2 linked regions of the Caenorhabditis elegans genome follow. Changing the gene in region 2 together with the main gene of any one other region gives a genetic interaction. Each region holds a gene or a part of one and is shown on either strand. Other genes may lie near its edges.

The links.
Region 1: of lec-6 (region 2) and bcf-1, changing one enhances a phenotype caused by changing the other (phenotypic enhancement), as found in Caenorhabditis elegans (one study listed by BioGRID).

The regions. Positions count from the first base shown.
Region 1 is NC_003283.11:6,402,738-6,410,771, reverse strand, and holds the start of bcf-1 (bacterial colonization factor), read left to right. Parts: upstream 1-1,988; coding exon 1,989-2,114; intron 2,115-2,166; coding exon 2,167-2,390; intron 2,391-3,180; coding exon 3,181-8,034.
Region 2 is NC_003281.10:599,006-602,409, forward strand, and holds lec-6 (Galectin), read right to left. Parts: upstream 1,362-3,404; 5' UTR 1,354-1,361; coding exon 1,030-1,353; intron 713-1,029; coding exon 596-712; 3' UTR 505-595; downstream 1-504.

The sequences.
Region 1 (8,034 bases), on a different chromosome or scaffold from region 2:
TAGGCAACCGTCAGAAGGTGCCCATCGGACTTGCATATGAGACTTATGCCATTCGATAGTGCATGTCTTAAAACGGTTGCTCGTGAATTTTTAGCGGCAAAACTCCAGAACCAAGCTCACGGCGGGATCTCAAAGATCCTAAAATAGCACTGTAAATAAGAACTTTAACGATCTAACGAAGCAAGTTTTCATATTCACTTTGGCAGCTCATATAGAAAAGCATTAGAAACTGAATAGCAGCAAAACAATAACAACAACAGTTGCCGCACTTCACGCGCTTCTATCTGAAACAAAAAATTTTTGGGAAAAAACTTTCAACTACAAACTTGTTCTTTACAACAATATCAACAACTTATCAGTTGATGACTTTTCTGTAAAAAAATTATCCGCGGAGATATGATCTACCAAAGTGAATTTGGAAAATTGGCCCTCCAATGCTTCGTTAAAGTGCTATTTTAGGATCATTGAGAGCCCGCCGTGAGCTTGGTTCTGGAGTTTTGCAGCTAAAAATTCACGAGTAACCGTTTTAAGACATGGGCTATCGAATGGCGTAGATCTCATATGCAAGTCCAATGGGTACCTTCTGACGGTTCACTAGTAAGAACTTTAAAAGTTTCCCAAAATAATTTCATATTCAAATTTTTTTACAATTTATATAAAAATATGATAGAAAAAAAAAGACAAAAGACACACACACACAAATACATAGAATATGAAAATCACATTTTTTTTCCTTGATTTCAAAAGTTATGTTATTTAAAACTTGCTCCTTGCTGCGTTTGGTTATATTGGCACCATCTTTTTAAAAATACTTATTAGACAGCCCAAGTAAAAGTGCTCCAAAAGGTGTGTTTTGTACATTTGACAAATTTGTGCTTGAAATTTTAATTCAATTATCATTCGACTCAGACATGGTCTTGAAACCCTTACTCTATTTTTATATGAGTGTGTTTAATATAACTTTCTAAAGAGTTCTGAGGTGTATGTTTTCCCAGAGCATAAAGGTGTCAGATATGATATAAAATATCTACGAAGGAGTATCTGAACAGTTAAAAAAATTTCAAATTATAAGGTTTATAGGTTTTTAATTAAAATGACTATTCCAGGACTGAATTTTGATTTATTGATACATATTGGAATTTCTTTGATTTGGTTTTCAAACTGCCATGTTTTATGATCAGTTTCGATAACAACCAGACGAGTGAAATGAGGCAAAAAGTAAATTCAAAAATGAGTAGTGTAGTTTACCGCGGAGTTTTCAGCAGGATATAATTAATGTTGGTGGATATTCAAATGTGTAATATTGCAATTTAAAATGTTGAGTTTAGATTATAAGTCATCTCCGAATCTATTTTTTTTTCTCAAAAAACTACACTCCAAACCGCCAGAATGAAATCCGCTAGTGACTCATTTTCAGGCTTATCTTCGTTCCATTTTTCAATATTTCACAACTAGCGTGATTTTGATAAAAAATAATGCAAACCACAGTAAAGTAAAAATTTTATTTGGTTAACCAAATGACGAATTGACAGTTAGATAGCTGAAACTAGATTACAGCTATAAATCGGATGACTAAGTATTTGGGTTTGCCAACGCTTCACATACACCCAAAATTCCTGCTCCAACTACTTTTTTGAAGCTCATTTTCTTTTTCTCATTGTTTCTCTTGCAGCAGAAATCACTAATTTCGTATCCTGCTTCACAGGTTTCGCCTCCAAGGTTCTGAGACTCCACCCACTTCGTGCTCTTATCAAGAGAGGGCAACTACCGTATAACAAGGACCGATTGGCGACCAAGAACCAATTTTGACTGTTCATTATAAGAGCCTCATTCTATTTAATTTACATCTCGCCAGGTCGCACTTCACTTCTTCTCTCTACTCGAAGAAGCCCTACTGATTTTTTTCTCAAATTTTATTTCTGAGAGCCTTCCTTGCTTTACTGTGTTTTTTAAGGATCTTACTATTCACTAACACATTCAAATTTCAGATGCGCTTGGGCATTTTCCTGCTGGCACTTGCCGGCTGTTGTAGTTTCGCTAGTGCTAAACAAAACTGCTTAGTCGGAAATCTAATTGTATCGGAAAATGTTATTACATCAAAGTCTGTTGAATTGGTACGTCCATCTAATATACATACATTCTATATATTTACTTTAACTGTTTCAGAGAGAATGCGAAGGATTGTGCAGAAAACAAACTGTCAAATCTCCAAGCGGAGGACTTGTTCTCTTGACATGCGAAGAGAACAAGCTTATGGCTTTCATTAACAAAGGACAGGATTGCTCCAGCAGTGAGCTTGAGACATCATGCTTCTGCGAGGATGAGTTGTGTAACAAGGTCGACTTGGAAGAAAATATTCCAAAGCCAATCGAAGTTATTAATGCCCCAAAGTGAGTTTTGTTATCACTGTTATTTTTGACAACTGATAGGAATTGAGGTTTGCATAAGTCTCTGATAGTAACTTTTGATAAACGACTATTTTTGATAACAGCTGCGAAAGAGAAAAACTGATGCAAAATCAGATTAATTTTTTGACCAATTGAAACTTTTTTTAATATTTCGAAATTTTGAATATTAGAGAAACTAAAAACACACGTCGAAATTTCTCCCGTAGATTTGTTTTTAACTTTAGCGATTGGTTTTGAGCAATTTTTTTCCAAATTTTAAAACATTTTCAAGTTTGTACGATTCAAATGTTTAACGTTTATATGAAATCCATCGTTTTTAGATCAAAAATATGTGTAGCCTTAAATTTTTTAAACTCCTTCCGGAAATCGCACTAACTTCTTACTATATAATATTATTTTTTTAGTATGACTTTTCAGCGATATAGTCTAAAATTGAACTTTTTCACTGTACTTTCTTTTACTATACTTTGTCCTAGTTCAATTCCTGACCACAAACTGTTACGTGTGTAAATTTGCCAGTCAACGTCAAACTGATAACAATAATGGAATAATTGGTTTACATTTGGGCGCGCTTCTTATCTGACTGTGCCAATAACGCACGCAACACAACCATAAAACGTGGCTAGTTAGCTCCTCGGCATTGAAATTCGGAAATATTTTAACCAATTGTGTGATAAGAGATTGATAGTACATTTTTACCAATTACCAAAAAACTTCCCTGAAGGAAGATCAAAGAAGATAAGTGAAGATAAATTGAATGTATTAATTGCAGCAACATCCTCTGCTACGTCGGATTCTATGCCAACAACACTACTCCAGGATTCGGATCAGGAGACACCGTCACTTGCTCCCCAGGAAATGTATGTACCAGTGTTTCTGGAGTCTACAACGGATATGACGCTGCTGCCTACGCTTGCATGCCACAAGGACTTTGCGACAGCATCTTCCCAAATATTGACCCAAATAATCCAATCGCCTGCACCAATCTCGCTGGAACCAACATTCAAGGATGCTGCTGTTACAAGCAAGATTGTACTAGCCTCGCTCCAATGAACAACCCACCAACTCCATCTCCATGGAACAAGAACAACCAGACATGCTATCAAGGAATTTCCGTCAACGGAGCTCTCTTGTACGGAGGATCTTTCTCTCAATGCTTGGGAGAATGCGGATCTGCTCGTATTCGTACCACTTACAATGGAGCCAATGTATGGGGAGAGATCTTCGTTTGTGACCCAGTCAACGTCTTCACTGCTTTGAACCTCGACAACGGATGCATGAACCTTGACACCCAAAACATCAATGGAGTCCCAACCGCTCTCATCACCGGCTGTGCCTGCAACAGCATGGACAAATGTATTGACCCAACTGTTGTTCCACCAGTCTACCCAGTCAAGCAGCTCAGATGCGCTGTCGGACTTTACAATGGAACAACCTGGCTCGGAGCTGAAATGAACTGCCAAGGACGATGTGGACGTGTCAGGTTCAATGCCAACGGACAACAAGTTTCATACTTCACTTGCATGCCATACGATGTCTGCGCTGGATTCGGACTTGCTTCCACTGAAGGACAAACCTACAATCCACCACAAGACGAGGAACTTGAGGTGTACTGCTGCTCTGCTAGCAACAACTGCAACGTTAACAATCCATACATTCTCGGACGTGTGAATAACTCTGCTGTGTCTACCGCCAAGTATCCAGTTCTCTGCTACGGAGGAATCTGGGTTAACGGAGTTTCCATCACCAACTCTGCTTACGGACTCTGCCAAGGAGAGTGTGCTTCAGCTAGCTTCACCACCACCTTCGCCAACCAAGTTCACAATGCTACCATCTACACTTGCGATCCAGTCACAATGTGCCAACAAGCCGGAATCTCCAACTCTTGCGGAAGCGTTCTTGGAGGAGTCAATGCTTGCTGTTGCGACAATGATCTTTGCATTGATCCAAACAGAGGATCTCAACGCCCACAACTTCGTTGCTATTCTGGAGTTTCTATTCCACAAGACAAATACAACACTGGAGGAGACCAATTCTGTGATGGATGGTGCGGATCCTTGAACTCTGTTGTCAACGGAAAGAACGCAACTGTCTACTACTGCGCCCCAGTTGGAATGTGCCGCTACTTCGGACTCGGATTCGGAGGATCTTACGGAAACTGTGGACAAATCCCAGGAGCTGACCCACAAGTCACTGGATGCTGCTGCTCAGAAACTGACAACTGTCTTGCCCCAGCTGGAGTCAACGTCACTGCCATCCCAGCTCGTCGTGACCCAAGAATTGTCTGCTACGAAGGAATCCATCTCAACGGACAAAACATCAGCCAGCCTTACTACCGCATGTGCGACGGAGAATGTGTGTCTGTTTCCCTTGGAGGAACCGTCAATAACAACTCTCACTACGCTACTCTCTACACCTGCGATCCAAGCAGTGCCTGTGCCGCGATGGGACTTCGTAACAACTGCTCCACCATTGACAACTCTCTCACTGCTTGCTGCTGTGACTCCAATGAGTGTATTGATCCAACCTACAACCGTGTTCCAGGAAAAGCTCTCAAATGCTACGTCGGTATCAGCACCCAGCACAAGGGAAACATCGCAGGAGCTGAAGTTCTTTGCGACGGATATTGTGCCACCGTTTCCGCTGTTGTCGGATCCGACTATGTCACCGCCTTCCATTGCGCTCCAAGATCTATGTGCCGTTCCCTTGGACTTGACAACTCGAACAACACTTTCTACTTGGACAGATTCGTCAACGCGTACTGCTGTGATGTCTTCGACAACTGCAACGTTGCTACGTCTGGATTCAACGTCACCATTCCACCACTTGCACCAAATGAGATGCCACGCGCTTGCTATTCTGGAATTTTCATTGGAGGAAGCCAAATCTCTGACGGAGGATGGACTGCTTGCAAGGGAGATTGTGTTGCTGTCAACTTGAACACCACATACAACGGAGTTGCTACCACTGCTTCTCTTTACACGTGTGACCCATCTTACATCTGCAGAATGATGAACTCAACAAACAGATGCCACCAACAAGAACAAGGATTCGAGACTTGCTGCTGTGACAGCGATGCTTGCCTCGATCCAACATCCACCCCACCACGTAAACCATATGGAGATGGAAACCTCTGTTACGTCGGAGCTTACTCCTATGATTTGAAGGGAAATACCATCTTCAATGCCGGAGGAGAACAATACTGCGAAGGAAACTGCGCATCTGTTACTTCAACACTTGCCAACGCTAACGTCACTGTTTACGCTTGTGTCCCAGCATACGTCTGTAACAGCTTGTACGTCTATGACAGCTGCCGCACACTCTGGTATGATAGAGATATCACTGGATGTTGTTGTACCAATGGACCTAACTGCAACTTGAATCAAGTTGTTCCAAGACCTCCAATCAACAATCCCGGAAGAAGACGTCCACGTGTTGAATATCCAATCACCTGCCCAGCTGGTCTTATCGTTGACGGATTCAACCAAACTCCAATGGAATTCTCCGTTTGCTTCGGTGAATGTGCCTCTGTCAGCATCAATGCTACGATCAACGGAACTTTGCACACGGCTTCCTTCTACACTTGTGATCCATCGTCTGTCTGCTACCAACTTAAAGTTCATAACAACTGTACTTCCCCAGAAGCTGGAGTAACCGCTTGCTGCTGCGACAGTGATGCTTGCCTCGACCCGAACAGAGGAAAGACCGTTCCAACTCCACCACTCAAGTGCTACGTTGGACTTTACTCTACCAGCGTGCCATCACTTCAAACCGGAGCTGAACAACTCTGCGACGGAAAGTGCGCTTCTGTTAGCGCTCGCATTGCCAATGACAACGTGACCCTCTTCGCTTGTGTTCCACACTCTCTATGCCGTTCCCTCGAGCTCTACGATTCCTGCGCCCGCATGGAGCCATACTACCCAGAATTCCGAGCTTGCTGCTGTGACAATGCTGATAACTGCAACGTTCAACAGACCCATCTTGCCAATGTGATCAACACCACCATCCCACTCACTCCACTCAATGATGCTCCAATATCTTGCTACTCCGGACTTTTCATCAACGGAACCGCTTACAGCTCAGCTGGATGGCAGGTTTGCCAAGGAGAGTGTGTCTCAGTATCAATCACATCTCAATTCAATGGACAAGCCGGAACCGCTGCTCTTTACACCTGCGATCCATCCCGCGTTTGCCGTAATTTGAACATTCTGAACAAGTGCTCCAGTCTTGAGAACGGAATTACCGGATGCTGCTGTAACACCAATGCCTGTATTGATCCAACAGTCTATCCAGCTCGTAACCCAGGAAACCAACTTATGTGCTATGCTGGTATCAGCTCGAACTACATTGTTAATGGAAGCGCAGTTAACGTTGGAGCTCAAATTCCATGTAACGGACAATGCTCATCCCTCTCAGGAGTTGTCGGTGGATTCCAAGTCAACACCTATCACTGCATGCCAAACTCGATCTGTAACTCCCTTGAACTCTACGACAACTGCAAACCAGTTTGGAATGACAACCAAGTCACTGGATGCTGCTGTAACAATGCCAACAACTGTAACATTGCCAATACCACCATCACTCCACCACCACCACCAACTTCAGTCGACTATGCTATTGCTTGCTACACTGGACTTTATGTCAACGGTGTTCCATCTACTCCAGTCATTCTCGGAGCTTGCCAGGGACAATGTGCGTCCATCTCATTGAACACTACACTCAACGGAGTTGCCACCACAGCAACTCTTTACGGATGCGACCCAAGCACTGTTTGCCAATCTCTCAACATGAACAACTGGTGTGCCTCCCCAATCCCAGGAGTCTCCGGATGCTGCTGTAACACTGATCTCTGCCTTGATCCACCAAAGAACAAGACTGTACCATCTGGATTCCGCAAGTGCTTCGCTGGAATCTACGCTCAAGGAAAGGCCACTGGATCTGAAATCTTCTGCCCAGGAAAGTGCGCCTCAATTCAAGCTACCCTCAACCAAGACCCAGTTGCTATCTTCGGATGCGTGCCAACCCAATTCTGCAGACAACTCGAGATGTACGACGAGTGCAAACCACTTCCATATGATACCACAGTTACGGGATGCTGCTGCGACAACTACAACAACTGCAACGTCGATTTGGCTGGATATGGTGGAAAGATCAATACTTCAATGCCAGTTACGAACTTCCGTGATTATCCAATCGCTTGCTTCTCTGGTCTTTACGTCAATAACATGCCAATTTCCATCGCTGGTTGGCAAGCATGTAAGGGAGAATGCGCTTCTGCTACTCTCTCAACCATGTACAATGGAGCTCTCACCAACGCTACAATTTACACTTGCGATCCAGTCAGCACATGCTATCAACTTGGAATGAACAACAATTGTACTACCATTGAGAATGGACTTTCCGGATGCTGCTGTTCTACCGATGCTTGCCTCGACCCAACTGTTTCTCCACCACGTACTCCTAACCCACTCAAGTGCTACGTTGGTCTACAATCTACCTACAATTCGTTGAGCCTCGGAGCTGAGACCTATTGTTCCGGACAATGCGCTTCATTGACTGGAATCGTCGGAGGTTTCAATGTCACTACTTATCACTGTGTTGCTGATACTATCTGCAAATCTCTTGA
Region 2 (3,404 bases):
AGACAAAAACGAAGAGAAAATGAAAAAAAATAATTCAAATAAATTTTGTGCGTCAAATAAGGTGCCCGGTCCGCAGCCACAGTGTTTGCACCGAACAGGAACTACAGTACCCTAAAATAGTATTTTCCTCGATTTCAGTTTTTGAAACTTGCTTTAAATGAACGAGTGGATATAAAATAGAAAATAAAGCTTTATTAAAAGAAAATAAGTGAAAATCTGATTAAGAATTTTCAAAAAAAAATCTTTTCCGAAGAATAAATCGAATTCCTTCACTATTTTTTCGAGATAAGAAGTTTTAAGAGAAAATGCCCTTTGGAACTAAGTAATGATTAAAAAGTATTAGGGGACGCTAAGCACGCTAAAACTGATGCTTCATAATAATAAACTATGAATTATCAACTTTATAGCGGTGACCTCTACCATTACTGCCGAAATTGCGCGTAAAATATGGCGCTTCGACTCAGTGTCTGCGAATCCATTTTTCGGAATTTAGAAAATAGAAATATTCAAAACCAAGGTTTATTGATATGAAATTTGCACAAAAATTCAAAATGTATCATAAAGAAAGAGTATTTTAAACCAAAAATTAAATAAATTAGTGAGAAACATGGGCGGAATGAACATGAACTCCTCCCTCGATCTCAATGAGATGGACTCCGTGGGATGGAGTACGCTCGACAAAGTCAGCGAAGTGGGCTCCGTTGACGAAGATCTGAAAAATATAATAGTTTAAAGATTAAGTTTCAGTAGGTGAACAGGGCTCGAAATCCAATGCTCATCAGAGATGGGAGTACGAAAAATCAAACTTTTCCACGTGGTGTCGAAGTGTCCCATTTTGGTGTGATCTTCAAAAAATGCGGCCGAAGAGGCGCTGACTTCTCAACTGATTTCGCATGATTAAGAGTGTGCTGATGTCACGAAAAATTCCCTCATTTTTTGTAGATCAAACCGCAACGAGACAGTCTGGCACCACGTGCTTTGCACGAACACAGTCCGCCTTAACATTCTTAAGCCCAGAATCCAACTAACCGAGATAATTCCACCGTTGGACACAAACTCCAGAGTGTAGATCTTGTTCTGCTGGAATGGATTGGCGTGACGATCCTCGGATTGCCAACCTCCTCCGCTGGTCGAGTTGTTCACAACAGCTCCCTCATCGAATCTAGCGTTGAAGTGAAGAACAATGTCGTCTGGAGTGCGAAGATTGATGTGGAAACGAGAATCGGCGGATGTTGGGAGAAGAACGAGACGGAGGCGAGCACCGTTGGAGAATCCTTGCACTGGGATGTTCACTGGGGTTTGTGGGTTGAAGAATTCGTTGCGGAAGCTGATTCCGATTCCTCCTCCGATCATGGTTGATTCTGAAATCAACTGTGTGAGTTGGGAAGGGAAACATGTTAGGAGCAATACTAAGACCACTATTCGTATAAAATGTACATCTATGAGAATTGTAAGCTGATTCTTTGGCTCTAAATCGCATGTTTTATCACTAGGTGATGTAAAATGTCTAAAGATCGAAAAGCCGAGTAGTTTGAAAGTTGATAAGAGCGTATGAAAAACCCTCGGCAAAGTAAACAATTCTCGGTGTCTACTGGGGGAAAATGTTCAACGAAAAAAAAATAGAAATTGGGCAATAAATGTAAACAATCCTCATCTATTTATACATCACAGAATGGGCGGATTCTTGCCTATGAGTCATCAAATACGATTCTAGAGAATTCCTTACTACATGAATCATGGAAAAAAAGGCTTGAGTACATTGTACACCTGCCATCGTCTCTTATAAGCAGTGTTTCTTATCAACTTATTGATGAGTTGGCATATGCTCCGCCTCGAACTATTTCGATGATAAGTTGCTTGTTTACTGAACTGAAAAAGGCTTTTCGATGAAAAATTCAGCCCGGCATAAAGAATGTCACGAGTTAGTTTGGAAATTAAGATGTGTGCTGATAAACGTCAAGAGAGGAAGTAGTGATAAAATTCTAGAGTTTTAACAAATTTGCAAAATCTCTGAATTGTTTTATTTTAGGAGTTTTTCAACCTAAATTCGTATTTTAGTTATTTAATTGTTCCTCGTTCCACACGTCACCATTTACAACCCTTATTATCGAAGTGCCAAGTTACAGGGAGAACTTGGTACATACCAGCTCACCAAGAAAAACCGATCAATAATGTAATAAAACCCGCTGACATTGAAGACAGAAGATACCGCAATTTTCTTTAATAGCTTGGGTTTTTATTAGCGCTAAACAATATATAACGTGGCAGTTTTTTTAATGCTGACTTATAAATAGTACTTTTCCTTTCAATGAATCTTCAGAGAATTTCAATGTGGCATTTTCTTAAAATCTTCCTCCGTTAAGCCATATTGCAATTGTATGTGGTAAACTTTCCAATACTATAAAAATTGAACTTTTAAAAACTTCTGAAACTTGAGTTTACAGTAACTTAAAGCTTAAAGGTGGAGTACCGAAATCTGAGACTTTGCTTTTTAGGCTCAAAACTACCGCATATCGTAATGAGACATCTTGAAAATTTCTCAACACGTTATGGCAGTTCAAAAATCTGGAAAAAGGTCCACTTTCAGCTAAAATCAAATTGTTTCCAACTTCTCGGTGTCGCTGCGTCTGGAAGTTAATTTGTATTTAATTACCACTTTCTAATAAATAATGTGATCGTTTAATGCGCATTTATTCGTTGGTTTAAGTACATTTTCGGCCAGTGGGGCACAAATAAAAGCTATGTTTTTGTGCCCCAATGACCGAAAATGCACTTTAATCAAACAATAAACTCCTAATAAAAAACCACAATATTTATCAAAGAATGAAAATTTTATTTTAGCTGAAAATGGGTCTGTTTTTCCAGAACTTTGAACCGCCATAATTTTTTTTTGCGAAGTTTTGAAAACGTCTCATTACGAAATTCGGTAGTTTTGGGCTATTTTGGGTCTAAAAACAAAGTCTCTGATTTCGGTACTCCACCTTTAAGATTTTCAAGTATACCCAGGAGCCACGTGTCCGTAAAAGTTCAATGATGGCATTTCCGGCTAGTAGTGATGTAATTTAGTCATGAAGCTGATTTTTTCTCCTCAATAATTTTGATGATTAATTATTGATAAGGAAAATGTCAAACAATTTGACGATTACCAGAAAGTTATTTTTCTACAATTCATGAATATCGGTTAAATTTGAGTAATCATTTTCTTCGTATGGAGCATGGGAAATTATTTAGACCTTTGCAAATTCAATTTTTTTTAAAAGCATTGTTAATTACCATCGTATTCCAATTTGATTCTAGACTACTATCAAACTTATTGAAGTGGTAATAATTTTTTCCAAGAATTTTGAACAACGTTTCTACTAGGGGTGTGCGTCAAATTTACCAAATTTGCCATTTGCCGATCT